Linked DNA regions of Macaca mulatta. The protein of the gene in region 2 interacts with the protein of the main gene of each other region in a biochemical or structural test. Links are inferred from orthologs where the notes say so. Each region holds a gene or a part of one and is shown on either strand. Other genes may lie near its edges.

Evidence for each region.
Region 1: the proteins of NCK1 (region 2) and SOS1 form a complex in vitro, tested with the Homo sapiens proteins (2 studies listed by BioGRID). The link is inferred for Macaca mulatta from reciprocal best matches to the Homo sapiens genes NCK1 and SOS1.
Region 3: the proteins of NCK1 (region 2) and FASLG form a complex in vitro, tested with the Homo sapiens proteins (2 studies listed by BioGRID and IntAct, with this or other methods). The link is inferred for Macaca mulatta from reciprocal best matches to the Homo sapiens genes NCK1 and FASLG.

Annotation. Positions count from the first base shown.
Region 1 is NC_133418.1:85,814,980-85,818,970, reverse strand, and holds the start of SOS1 (son of sevenless homolog 1), read right to left. Parts: upstream 2,859-3,991; 5' UTR 2,242-2,858; coding exon 2,155-2,241; intron 2,020-2,154; exon of another isoform or gene 1,901-2,019; intron 1-1,900.
Region 2 is NC_133407.1:39,960,442-39,964,005, forward strand, and holds the end of NCK1 (SH2/SH3 adapter protein NCK1), read left to right. Parts: coding exon 1-438; intron 439-2,383; coding exon 2,384-2,578; 3' UTR 2,579-3,120; downstream 3,121-3,564. UniProt on the Homo sapiens protein: Adapter protein which associates with tyrosine-phosphorylated growth factor receptors, such as KDR and PDGFRB, or their cellular substrates. Maintains low levels of EIF2S1 phosphorylation by promoting its dephosphorylation by PP1.
Region 3 is NC_133406.1:30,156,240-30,160,292, reverse strand, and holds the start of FASLG (tumor necrosis factor ligand superfamily member 6), read right to left. Parts: upstream 2,859-4,053; 5' UTR 2,817-2,858; coding exon 2,472-2,816; intron 1,921-2,471; coding exon 1,875-1,920; intron 1-1,874. UniProt on the Homo sapiens protein: Cytokine that binds to TNFRSF6/FAS, a receptor that transduces the apoptotic signal into cells. Involved in cytotoxic T-cell-mediated apoptosis, natural killer cell-mediated apoptosis and in T-cell development.

The DNA of each region.
Region 1 (3,991 bases), on a different chromosome or scaffold from region 2:
AGTGTTGGACCAGGCAAAGAAGGATGAAGGGACTAGAATATCCAAAGAGCCTCAGGTAAGAGTAAGAGAACACGAGTTGGATGCATCTACAAATAATTCAATAATAAATCAAAGGAAGAAATCAAGATATGGAGATATCCACATGAAATATCCAGCAGGCAGGTAAAAACGTAGGTTTTGAGCTACCAACAACGTATCCAGATATGAAATATACTGTATTTTCAACCTTGTTTAGAATCATTGTTAGTGGATATTTAAATAAGAATTGGAAGAACCTTACATATCAGCTAGATTATGTACACTTCCACCTCCTCTTATCACTTCTACTGCAAAAATATTTCTAGCTTAAAGTCAAAAGCTGGTTTATGTAAATATGCAAAAAGGACAAGTGGGGGCTGTGGTAAGGTGGAGATACACGACCTGTCTAAAGAAGGCAGCCATTTACTCACCTCCAGCAGTTTAGTGCCTCGCTTGAATACAGACCCTAAATGACAAGACCTTCCTATTCGTCAAGAAAAGCAGAAAATTCAGATTTTATGTAATATCTCCCATTTTCAAATATTAGCAACTAATTACATTTGAAAATAAAACCACACTGTGCCAGCCAAACAAAATGCTTCTGTGGACAGATTCCAGCAAGGGCCACCAGTGTGGCAGAATTAAAACAAGGTCTGTCAACTCCTACAATATTCTTTCCACTACTTCAAAGAATTCTCAGCTGATAGCTTGGTGATTCCCTAAGAAAGCAGCTGTTTTTGCCTCTAAGCAAAATGGCCCCTATTTGGCAATACTTTATGAGTTCCTTTACAGATTTTTAAACAATTTCCCTGTCTCCTCTTACCCTATCCGGACACCAGCTTCTAGCATCACAGAGACGTCCTACACCCATTCCATTGCAAGCTGAGAAGCCAAACTTGCAAGTAAAGCAAAAGTAAGGAGTGAGAGCCTGATGGGATTTCTAAGGAGTAAAGTATGTAAGATACATGGCATCTTTTTGGTTTTCTTTAAAAAAAAAAAAAAACAAACAAACAAACAAAAAAAAAAATAGATGTTTGTGACTAGTCAGACACTTGAAGGGGAAAATGTCCGTAACTTAAGTCAGAAATATATGAGCAAATACTCCTGACAAACCAAATAGTTTCCACTGTAAGACAGCAAGAGGGACAGGAGGAGAACAGGGCAAAAGGGAAAGTAAAAGTTACTGGCCTTTGAGAAATATCAGACAGCTTTTAATGTTTAGCATAAAAGGTACAACATTAATCTCCATTCTTAGTAGAAGCAGTTAGCATGAAACATTCTTTAAGCAGCAAGAAACTGGAATTTAGAAACACTATTAGAAGAGCAAAGCAATCTTTACAGAAAAGGTAAATGAAGAAAAGGAAACAAAAATAGTCTGGTAGTCACACTGCTGCTTTAGAAGCTTTAAAAATGTAACAACACTTCCTAATTATACTAAAACATTTAAAAGCACAGATCGGGGGTATGTAACAACGTAGCAAACTTAAACATACAAAGGCTAAAAATTCTTAACCAAATGACAGCACCAAGTTTCTAACGCTGCAAAAACAAAACAAAAAAACCCCGAAATTGGTAGCATGTGCACCGGCCCCTGTTAATCGGAGGAGCGGGGGAAACCAGGAGAATGAGGAGTGATTGCTGATGGCGAACAGAGCAGGCCACGTTACTGCTGGCAGGCGAGCTCGCAATTCCTTTGAGCAAGCACTACGGCCAGGGCATTCTCGAAAAGCCACTAAAACGAGCGTACTGGACACCTAAAACGGCAGGCTGACAGCAGCTCCGCGCTAAGACCGAGAAGGCGGAAAAGTGGCCTGCTTTGACCTCCGCAGAAAACTGAGGCTCCTGCAACTGTTGTCTTGGAATCAAAGGGCAAAGCATTCACCTCTCAGGGGTTGGATTATTCGGATAAACTCCCGCCAGCTCCCTGCGGCCTTCCCACACACCCGGTGGATGTCAACACTGAGAGCCAGCCGTATGGCGAGCCTCTCAGTGTGCGCCGTCCTTCTGGAGACGCGGCGAGACCGGGAAGAAAGACAGCCCTGCGCGCGCCCCGCCTCCCCAGCCCTTCCCCAGCGCCAGCCCGGCGCCCGCGCTGGGGTGCTGCGGCCGGGAAGCGGGGTCCCGCGTGCTCCTCACCTTTTTCAGCGCAGGCACCAGCAGTCCCCGCCACTTGGGCGCGTTCTCTTCGCTGAAAAACTCGTATGGCAGCTGCTGCGCCTGCATGGTGCCCCCGGGGCGCCTCTGGGCGGGGAGAGGGGCGGCGGCGGCCGGGCCGGGGAGCTGCGAGAGGGCGAGATCGCAGCACGGAACAGGGCCGCGGCCCCACCGGACGGCCCGGCCCCCTCCGGGCGCCGCGCAGCCGGGCTAGCCCTGGTGAGGGGGCTGGGGGGCGAGGCCCGCGCCCGGCCACACACCCGACACGGGTACCAACTGTGGAGAACGAACGCGGCCCGGAGGCGGCGGCATCCCGCACCACCGCCCCGGGGCCAGGCCCCCCGCGCCTCCTCCCCGGCCCGCCGGCGCCGCCCGGGGCTGCCCTCTGCCGCGGCCGCCGCCCGCCCGCCCGCCGGGGCTGCACTCTCGGGCCCGGCCTGGCCCCGCGGCGGAGCTGGCGGCTGGGGGAGGACGTGTGGAGGTACGCTCCGGCCGCGGCGCCCGCTCTGCTCAGTTGGTACCCCGAAACGCAGGAGCCCCGGGCGGGGCTGAGCTGGGGCGGGGGTCTCACGGGGAAGGGGAAGGACCCGAGGTCGTTGTTGGGGAATCTGGCTGCCCTGAGGTGCCGCCGCAGCCGCCGCCGCCGCCGCCGCCGGTGTAGCGCTAGAGCTTCCTACTAGCGAACTGAACCTGTTCGCTACTGAGCATGCGCCGCCGGGCTGGGCTGGTTCGCTCCGGGTTTTCCGGCTCCCGGTGAAGGAGGAGGGAAGCTCGAGAGAGAGAGAGGGAGGGCGCCTGGCCAGGCTGTTGCTGCGCTCCTGGGGGCTGCAGGGGAGGGGCGAAAGGACCCGAGAAGTCGAACCCTGGCAAAGTGGAGCCTGCAGGGGTGGGTGATAACTAGGGTAAAGAGGCTCCCCATTGTGTGGTCTGGCCGTGAGGGCTCCCACCCCTCTCGGAATCCCTGGGCCCTTCGTTTCGGAAAGGGGTGTGTGTACTTTGTTCCTGAACACGAAGATAAGGACTGCCCAGAGCACGCAATGTATAGTAAACAGACTGGACAAAAGATACAGGTGCTCTGTCACGAAACCTACTGCTCAGTATCTGCTGAGTAGTAGAAGTGATTGCAGTGTTTCTAACTGGTCTTTCCACAAAACCAAGAATAAAATGTGTACGTGTAGTATTGATTTTGTGTGTATGTTTTAGATTCCCTCTGTTCATCTTTTAAACCCACTCCAGATATGAACTCCAATAAACACTTTCCTCCAGTGGATATCGAGACCTCTTCTACAGCTCCTAGAGCACTGCACTTACGCCCTTCTCAGGGCGTTCAGTCTATCGTGTTTTGTATCTTTTGAGGTTCTTTCGACTAGATAATATACTGGAAGGCCGATCTTTTTCACCAGGGCCTCTACACAGAACAGGCACTCAGTGAATATTAGTGGAATGCTAAAGGAGCAGTATTTATAAACTGTCCCTCCAGGCCACTGTTTGTTTATAATAGGGGCACTTTGTGGCAGACACCTTATGATTTATCATTAATTATCACTTTTTGAGTATCATCTCATTTAATCCCCATAGCAACCCTATTATTTTCATTTCACCGATAAGGCAGTTTAGAGGAACTAGCCTGGGTTAAAGCTGACATTGTGTCCTCCTATTCCTGAGAACAGTAACCAGGATCAGGCAAACGAGAAAGGTTCAGTGGTTCTTAATCTTTACAGGACCTCTTTGAAAATCTGGAAAAAACTCTTAGGTTATTTCCTTTAAAAATATACAGGCCGGCCAGGCGAGGTGGCTCATGCCTGTAGCACTTTAGGAG
Region 2 (3,564 bases):
TTGGGTGACCATGTGGGTTCTCTGTCAGAGAAATTAGCAGCAGTCGTCAATAACCTAAATACCGGGCAAGTGTTGCATGTGGTACAGGCTCTTTACCCATTCAGCTCATCTAACGATGAAGAACTTAATTTCGAGAAAGGAGATGTAATGGATGTTATTGAAAAACCTGAAAATGACCCAGAATGGTGGAAATGCAGGAAGATCAATGGTATGGTTGGTCTAGTACCAAAAAACTATGTTACCGTTATGCAGAATAATCCATTAACCTCAGGTTTGGAGCCATCACCTCCACAGTGTGATTACATTAGGCCTTCACTCACGGGAAAGTTTGCTGGCAATCCTTGGTATTATGGCAAAGTCACCAGGCATCAAGCAGAAATGGCATTAAACGAAAGAGGACACGAAGGGGATTTCCTCATTCGAGATAGTGAATCTTCGGTAAGTTGATTTTCAGATGTAAATACAAATAGAGCTCTATGTATTAAAAAGAAAAAGAGAAATGGAGAGGTTAAGTGGCTTCCCTAAAGTTAACCAGGTAACAAGCTGGGACATAACATAAGCATAAATGTTCCAAAGCTAAAGTCAGCATTCTTTCTAGCTATCTATTTTCAATGAAAAGAGAGTTGTGGCAGTGATGCTACATGCTGAGTTATTTGGTCTTTTCTAGTTCTGTTGATTTTGCATTCCTGATATATTTTCTGTTGCATTAAACTAAATGGAGAAAATGGAACATTGACTTCTTCATTGAATGTAGAATAATACTGTAGATTAAATTGGGAAACATTTTAAAAATTGCTATTGGATACAATGTGTAAGAAGATAGTCACTGTAGTCCTTATGACATAGGAAATCCCTGAATTTAAAAAATTGATACTAAGTTTCTTCATAAATTGGTTACCTGGAAATTGGAATACACTTTTTATTGTAATCTCAAAAAACCTATTTTAACACTGTGTTTGAAATGCATTTGCAATAAAAGGTAAATTATATTGCAATACTAGTAAACAATAAAACTATAAAACCATAAAAGTTGAAAAATAGTATGGTTTCATGGTCTCTTAGATACTGTTTAGGATATTAGAATTTGATGACACTCATTTTCCTTAAAAATGCCCTTTTCCTTGATAAAAGATATCATTACTTTTCCATTTATTAAATCATGATTAATCTTGGCTTTGCGTGAGTATATTTGTACAAAAGGGAATGTGTAATTGCACAAAATTTTGAAAGAAAATGTGTGGAAGTGGGGTGTGGTGGGGAGAGAGATTAATTGAACTTCTAATATGAAGTTCAGGAAAATGGGGCCTGTGCCTAATCCCTCAGAAAAGCAGTTGGTTGGCAGTAGGGAAGAGTGATGACATCCATTTTCTGTTAGTTGCCTGATCTGGCTCACTGTTTGAAACTTTGGGAGTAACTGTAGAAAAAGAGGCTTTTGGGGGTTGATATAGACTGTAACAACAACAACAACAACAAAAAACCTAATTAAAAAGAAAATAGCTTGAATGCAGAATTGTGTGTATTTTCTTGTGGGTAATTGAGCATAAATATAAGACAAAATACAATATATACCATTATTTTTAGCAGTATACTTTTTAAGGTTAGGTCTCAAGTAGGCATATTTTGTTTAGCCTTCACAGTGTTTTTTAAACGTTTAAATTCATTGCCCATATTTAAATATTAGGATATTTATTGTAAAAATTCAGACTTTGGACCATTTAAAATTGAAAGAACTACCAACATTGAGACCCTATTCCTGCGGGGCAACAATCACAGCTGAGAAGTCACCACTTCTTTAGATTGGTGATACACTGTCATTTTCTCTGCCCATCTACCCTTCCACTCTGACACTTGTTTACGTTATTCTTTTGGCTCTTGTAGGCATTTGAGTTTGTGGCCTTTCCTTAAAGTTTAGATTAATTCTCATTTGTGTGTTCTTCATTTTTGGGAATTCAGCGTGTTATCCCTAAGACAGCTACTGTTAGCTACACATTGAAAAGGGGTTGGGTGGGTATCTTAGACTTTCTCATGTGTTTCTCTGACTGGAGAGAAGATAGCTCTTGTTCTTCAAATATGTAAGGGATTTGCTGTGGGTGTCTACTGGTGGAGCTGTGGGTGTTAAGAGACTTTTGATTACACAGGTTTGAATCCTGGCTCTGTTGTTAACTAGATGGATGATACTGGCCAATTTATTAATAGCTTCCCTGAGACTCAGTTTTCACATCTGTAAAAAGGGTTTTGTTTTAGGGAGTAAAGGAGATAAATCTATGTAAATAATTTACCATGGTACCTAGGACTTAGTGCTTAAATTTTAGCTTTTAGTTTAATATAAAAATACTGATAGAGGGCTTTCAAAATGTTTACTGTATTTTTTTTTCTCTTTTAGCCAAATGATTTCTCAGTATCACTAAAAGCACAAGGGAAAAACAAGCATTTTAAAGTCCAACTAAAAGAGACTGTCTACTGCATTGGGCAGCGTAAATTCAGCACCATGGAAGAACTTGTAGAACATTACAAAAAGGCACCAATTTTTACAAGTGAACAAGGAGAAAAATTATATCTTGTCAAGCATTTATCATGATACTGCTGACCAGAAGTGACTGCTGCATAGCTGTAATTTGTCATGTAATTGAAGACTGAGAAAATGTTGGGTCCATCGTGCTTGATTGGAAATGGCTGTTTCTAAACCTTTATGAGAATTGACAATAAGTATTTTTATTATAATTCAGCCCATACATATATACTATGTATGCAGTGCATCTGCATAGAACAGTTCCTTATCCTTGGCCTTCTGTTTTATTGTTTTTTTTCTTTGCTGTTTTCCCTTTGCTTCTAATATTACAGTTTTGTATTTTGAAAAAAAAAATCAAATAATGCTTATCAGAATCTTTATATGGAAGAAATCCTTTATTGCCTATCCTTTGTTTCCTTGTAAAGGCGCCCTGTTCTGTTATGGTTTTTCATTATATAAAATTATTATATCTATATATGACATATGCTAAAATAAATTTCTTGGAGAGTGTTAATCTTTTCTGTGACTAAATAGCAATAATAAATGAAAAATTAGAAATTATTTCCAGGTATTATATTTGTCACAGGCCATTGTAAATACCAAGTATATTGTGTCTGCCTTAATTTTAAAAAATGCATTCATTGTCTTCAGTCGTACAGAAAGACACATGAGACATAGATTAGAAAACATGTTGTACAATTTTAATTTACAACTGTTGGAAACAAAAATCACTTTCTTAATTTTTTTTCCAGTGCTTCTCCCTTATCTGGTTATTCAAGAAAGCCAAATTGTCTCTGAGATATTTAGCTTTTCAAACTATAAATAGATGCTCTAGTGTTATTTATTTTTTTTAATCCCACTTATTTTACCAGGGCATCTTGTATTAGGATATGTTATATTTATGCCAGTGGGAAACAAGTTATGGCCAAGTTTTGCAAAAATAGGAAGCAGTGAGATACTTGGTTTTTTCTCCTCACTAAATATCAGTAATTATCAGGAATGGTATTACCTATTTTCATTTCCTCTTTTCAGCTTTAAATTTTGTTGATTGGGAC
Region 3 (4,053 bases), on a different chromosome or scaffold from region 2:
GTTTATTATAAATAGGCTCATAAGGGAGTAATGAACATCCTTATATATAAATCTTCAGGCACATCTCTGATTATTTTCTTAAGAGAAATTCTTAGTGATAGGATTACAACATAAACTATTAGTTTCAAGCTTTTGATATGTATTTCTAAAGTGCTCTTCAGAAAAAGTTATAGCAATTTACATGTATACTGGCTGAAACTAATGTTTAAACAGCACTTTTCTTTCAAATCTTTGTCAGTCTGGGTTTTTGTTAACTTTACTAATTTGATGAAAATTGGTGTTCCCTATTTTTAGTTTGCATCTCTTTTCTTATTAGTAAAGTTACTGATTTGATTTCCTTGTGATAATTTAACAATTTCTGGTTCATCTGGGTTGATCTAGAGAAGATAATTGCTTACTGGGGTAGATGGACATGACTCGTCTGGTCATTTGATTTTTAATCACTAAATTGACTCCAGAGAGGAGGTAAAAGATGAATGCTTAGGTACCTATCAGACCAGGCACATTCCACAGGTTTTCAAAATGATCTTATTTGAGACATCCTCCAGAGGCTTTATTTTTCTAGCAAATATTTCCACTCTGCTTGTGTACATATGGACTTTCTAACATTTAAGGATTAGGACACAGACTCAGGGGCCAGAGCTTCCCAACAGTGGCTCCTATAAGAACTTAACAGTCTAGGACAGTAGACAGGCGACTGGGTTGCCTGCAGTAGCCACATCCAGAGAAACTGAAACTTACTTCACTTAATAGATGGCCAGTGCTGCCTTCTTCTTTATTCTGAGTTTCTAAGGATGCGATCTATCTATAGTCTTTGCAGAGGTATCCTGCTTTTCCTCTATTTCTCACTCCATGCTCACTACAGAGAGACAGGAGTTTCCCTACTTCATGAGGCACCAGTCCAGTACCGGAAAGCCCTGTAGGTGACAAGGCATCAAGAGCCTGTGTTCCTTCTAGCCCCAGTTCCATACTAGGGGTCTTGGGCATATTCACCTAATCCGTCTGGCATTTTGTTTCTCTTCCAAAAAAATGAAATGGCTGGACTGGATATTCTAAGCTTCCTTCCAACTCTAAACCTTCAGTGAATCTCATTGTAAATCTAAATCTAAAATTTCAATGAATCTTAGGCTAGTGAAGCACATTGTAAAATCCATCTGTACAGAGCTTGCAAAACTATGCCCTGAAATTTCACGAGATCAGTGTTCCAACATATCGTCTTCTTGCCCTAGCTCCCATACAAAGGATTTTCCTTTGTGATCAAGGGTACCTCATGACTGCCTCTGAAGCTGAACATCCTTTGAATGATGGCTGAAGTCTTCCCTTCAGCTTCTCAGTGACTTCAAGAAAAACCATTCTAATGTACGGAATTGATTAGCCACATTTTAAAAGCTTACGTCCTATAAAACATTTTGTAAATAAAGTTTCACTGTAATCTCTTTAGAGGCTTTAAAAGAGGAGAGGACGTTTCTCAGAAACATCTGTCTCTGCCTTCACTTCGCCTTCTCTTCCCAGAAGTCATAGCCACTGGCATGTGTGCCAGGACCAGGGTGTCTGTGGAAGGGGACAGGCCTGGAACCACTGCTCAGGGGGCAAAAGTCCACGGTTGTATATGTGTGTCTCTTTCCAAAGTCAAGCGGAAGTGATTTTGAATTGTGTGCCGTGCTCAGCTATATTGATTGTGAGCAATTCAATTCACTTCACATTTATAAAGCAGCTCAAGGAATCATACTGACCAGAGATTCCGAATTAGCCAGGATTCCTCTCATAGTATACATAAGCCAAAGTGTAGGACAGAATATAAGGCATTCCATTAACATATTTCAGTGCTGAGGATCATCTTTAGGAACTCAATGTACATGTGAAAAAGGACTCACCTATTTGCTTCTCCAAAGATGATGCTGTATGCTTCTGGCTGGTAGACTAGTAAAAGAGAAAGAAAAAAGATGCATAATAAAAATAAAATTATTTAAGCAAAAGAGACAGAATCGTCAAATAAACCAAGCCCTGGAAAGAGAATCCAAATACCTCAGAACTTTTGCTGACTCAGGCTTTGGTCAAGCAATTTTGCTTCACTGTCCCTCAGTTTTGTGATTTGAAATCGTACCAGTATTTTAAGTATTTTCAAGATTTAGTTTGGTCATCTGAACAAATTTACTTCCAAGCAAAACTTAAAAGTTTTGTTTGTTTTTTACTCCTTAAATCACTAGGTATGAGGCAGTAAGTGGTTCAACAGACTGAGTTGACAACTGAGGAAAGAAAAACTGTTGGGCTCTGATTCTTTACAAAATAAAAAATATTCCCTTCACTCCTATGAGCCTCCATTTCTCTGCCTATAGAATAGAATAACTAGAACAACCCATTTCTAAGAAAAAAAAAAAAGGATTGAAAAGCACTTTGCAAGCCAGGCAGTGGGCCCTCCACCCCCTTATGCCTGGTGCCTCCAGGGCACAGCAGTCTGCCAGCAGGCTTACCTCTCGGAGTTCTGCCAGCTCTTTCTGTAAGTGGAAGAGCTGAAACATCCCCAGTCCCAATCCTACCAAGGCAACCAGAACCATGAAAAACATCACAAGGAGACAAAGGCCTGTGCTGTGGTTTCCCCTCTTCTTCAAGGGTGGCAGCGGTAGTGGAGGCAGTGGTGGTGGCGGTGGAGGTGGTAGTGGCGGCGGCGGCGGCGGTGGTGGTGGCCTCCTTTGACCAGGCCTTCTGGGCACAGAGGTTGGACAGGGAAGAACTGTGCCTGGAGGGGCCCAGGGAGAGCTGGCACTGCTGTCCACCCAGTAGATCTGGGGATATGGGTAATTGAAGGGCTGCTGCATGGCAGCCGGTGAGTCAGGCCAGCCCCAGCAAACGGTTTTACTTCTCAATCCTGTAGAGGCTGAGGTGTCAAGGACAGGACTCCTGTTGCTGACTGCTCAAGAGGAGGCAAGCTGGATCTCTCTTATAGAGTTTCCATAGCTAAGGGAAACACCTCTGTCTTTCTCTTTCTCTATGTCTCTCTCTGATTCTGCTTCTCAAAGAAACACCCACTCACTTTGCAGCTGAAGCTGAGAAGCCTCAAGAAGCTCAGAGCAAACCCCTGGAAGTTTCCGCCCACAATCTTCTGACGAAAGCCTTGGAAGCCTCAGTTGCTATCGCTGTACTACCCAAACAGGTTGGTAGGCTATGCTCACCTTCCTGGGATCCTGTAGAGCAGGTCAGCATTGGGGTAGAGCCCTGTTGGCGTGAACTGCTCCCAGCTACAGGAGAATGGCCAGTGGGGCTATAATTTTATGAATTATAATTGTATCCTTTTTTATACATTACAATTGTATAATGTTAAGAATTCTACCATGTATACGACCAAAAAACTATTTAAAAATACCAAAATAACTCTAACAAAAATTGTTCAGAACCATATTTTTTAAACTATAAAAATTTTACTGAAATTGGCTCTGAGGGGAGAGACCATGGAGCCATGGCCAGAGAAGTCACTCCCACATTTTCGTTTTTGCAGGAGGAAAACACCTGTTGCCATCATCGCTTCCCCACACACAACTACCATTTACCCTGACCTGCCAATCACCATAATTTACAGGTTAAAAAACCTGCTACACCCTCTTTAGAAATTAGATCAGAGGCTGCAAACAGTGGAACCCACAGAACTGCTTTGTATTTCACAATGTTTTCATTTTCATTGTTTGCCCAGCTTATTTATTTACGTATTTATTTAAATAGAGACAGAGTCTCACTCTGTCACCCAAGCTGGAGTGGAGTGGTGCTATCGTAGTTAACTGCAGCCTCAAACTCCTGGGCTCAAGCAATCCTCTTGCCTCGGCCTCCTAAGTAGCTGGGATTATAGGCATGAGTCACTACACCTGACTTATTTATTTATTTATTTATTTATTTTTGTAGAGATGGGGACTCGCTATGTTGCCCAGGCTTGTCTCAAACTCCTAGCTTCAAGACATCCTCCCACCTCAGTTTCCCAAAGTGCTGGAATTACAGTCATGAGCCACTGCACTCAGCCCAATTGACCACTTTTAATATCAATATTAAAAATATTTTAATATATAT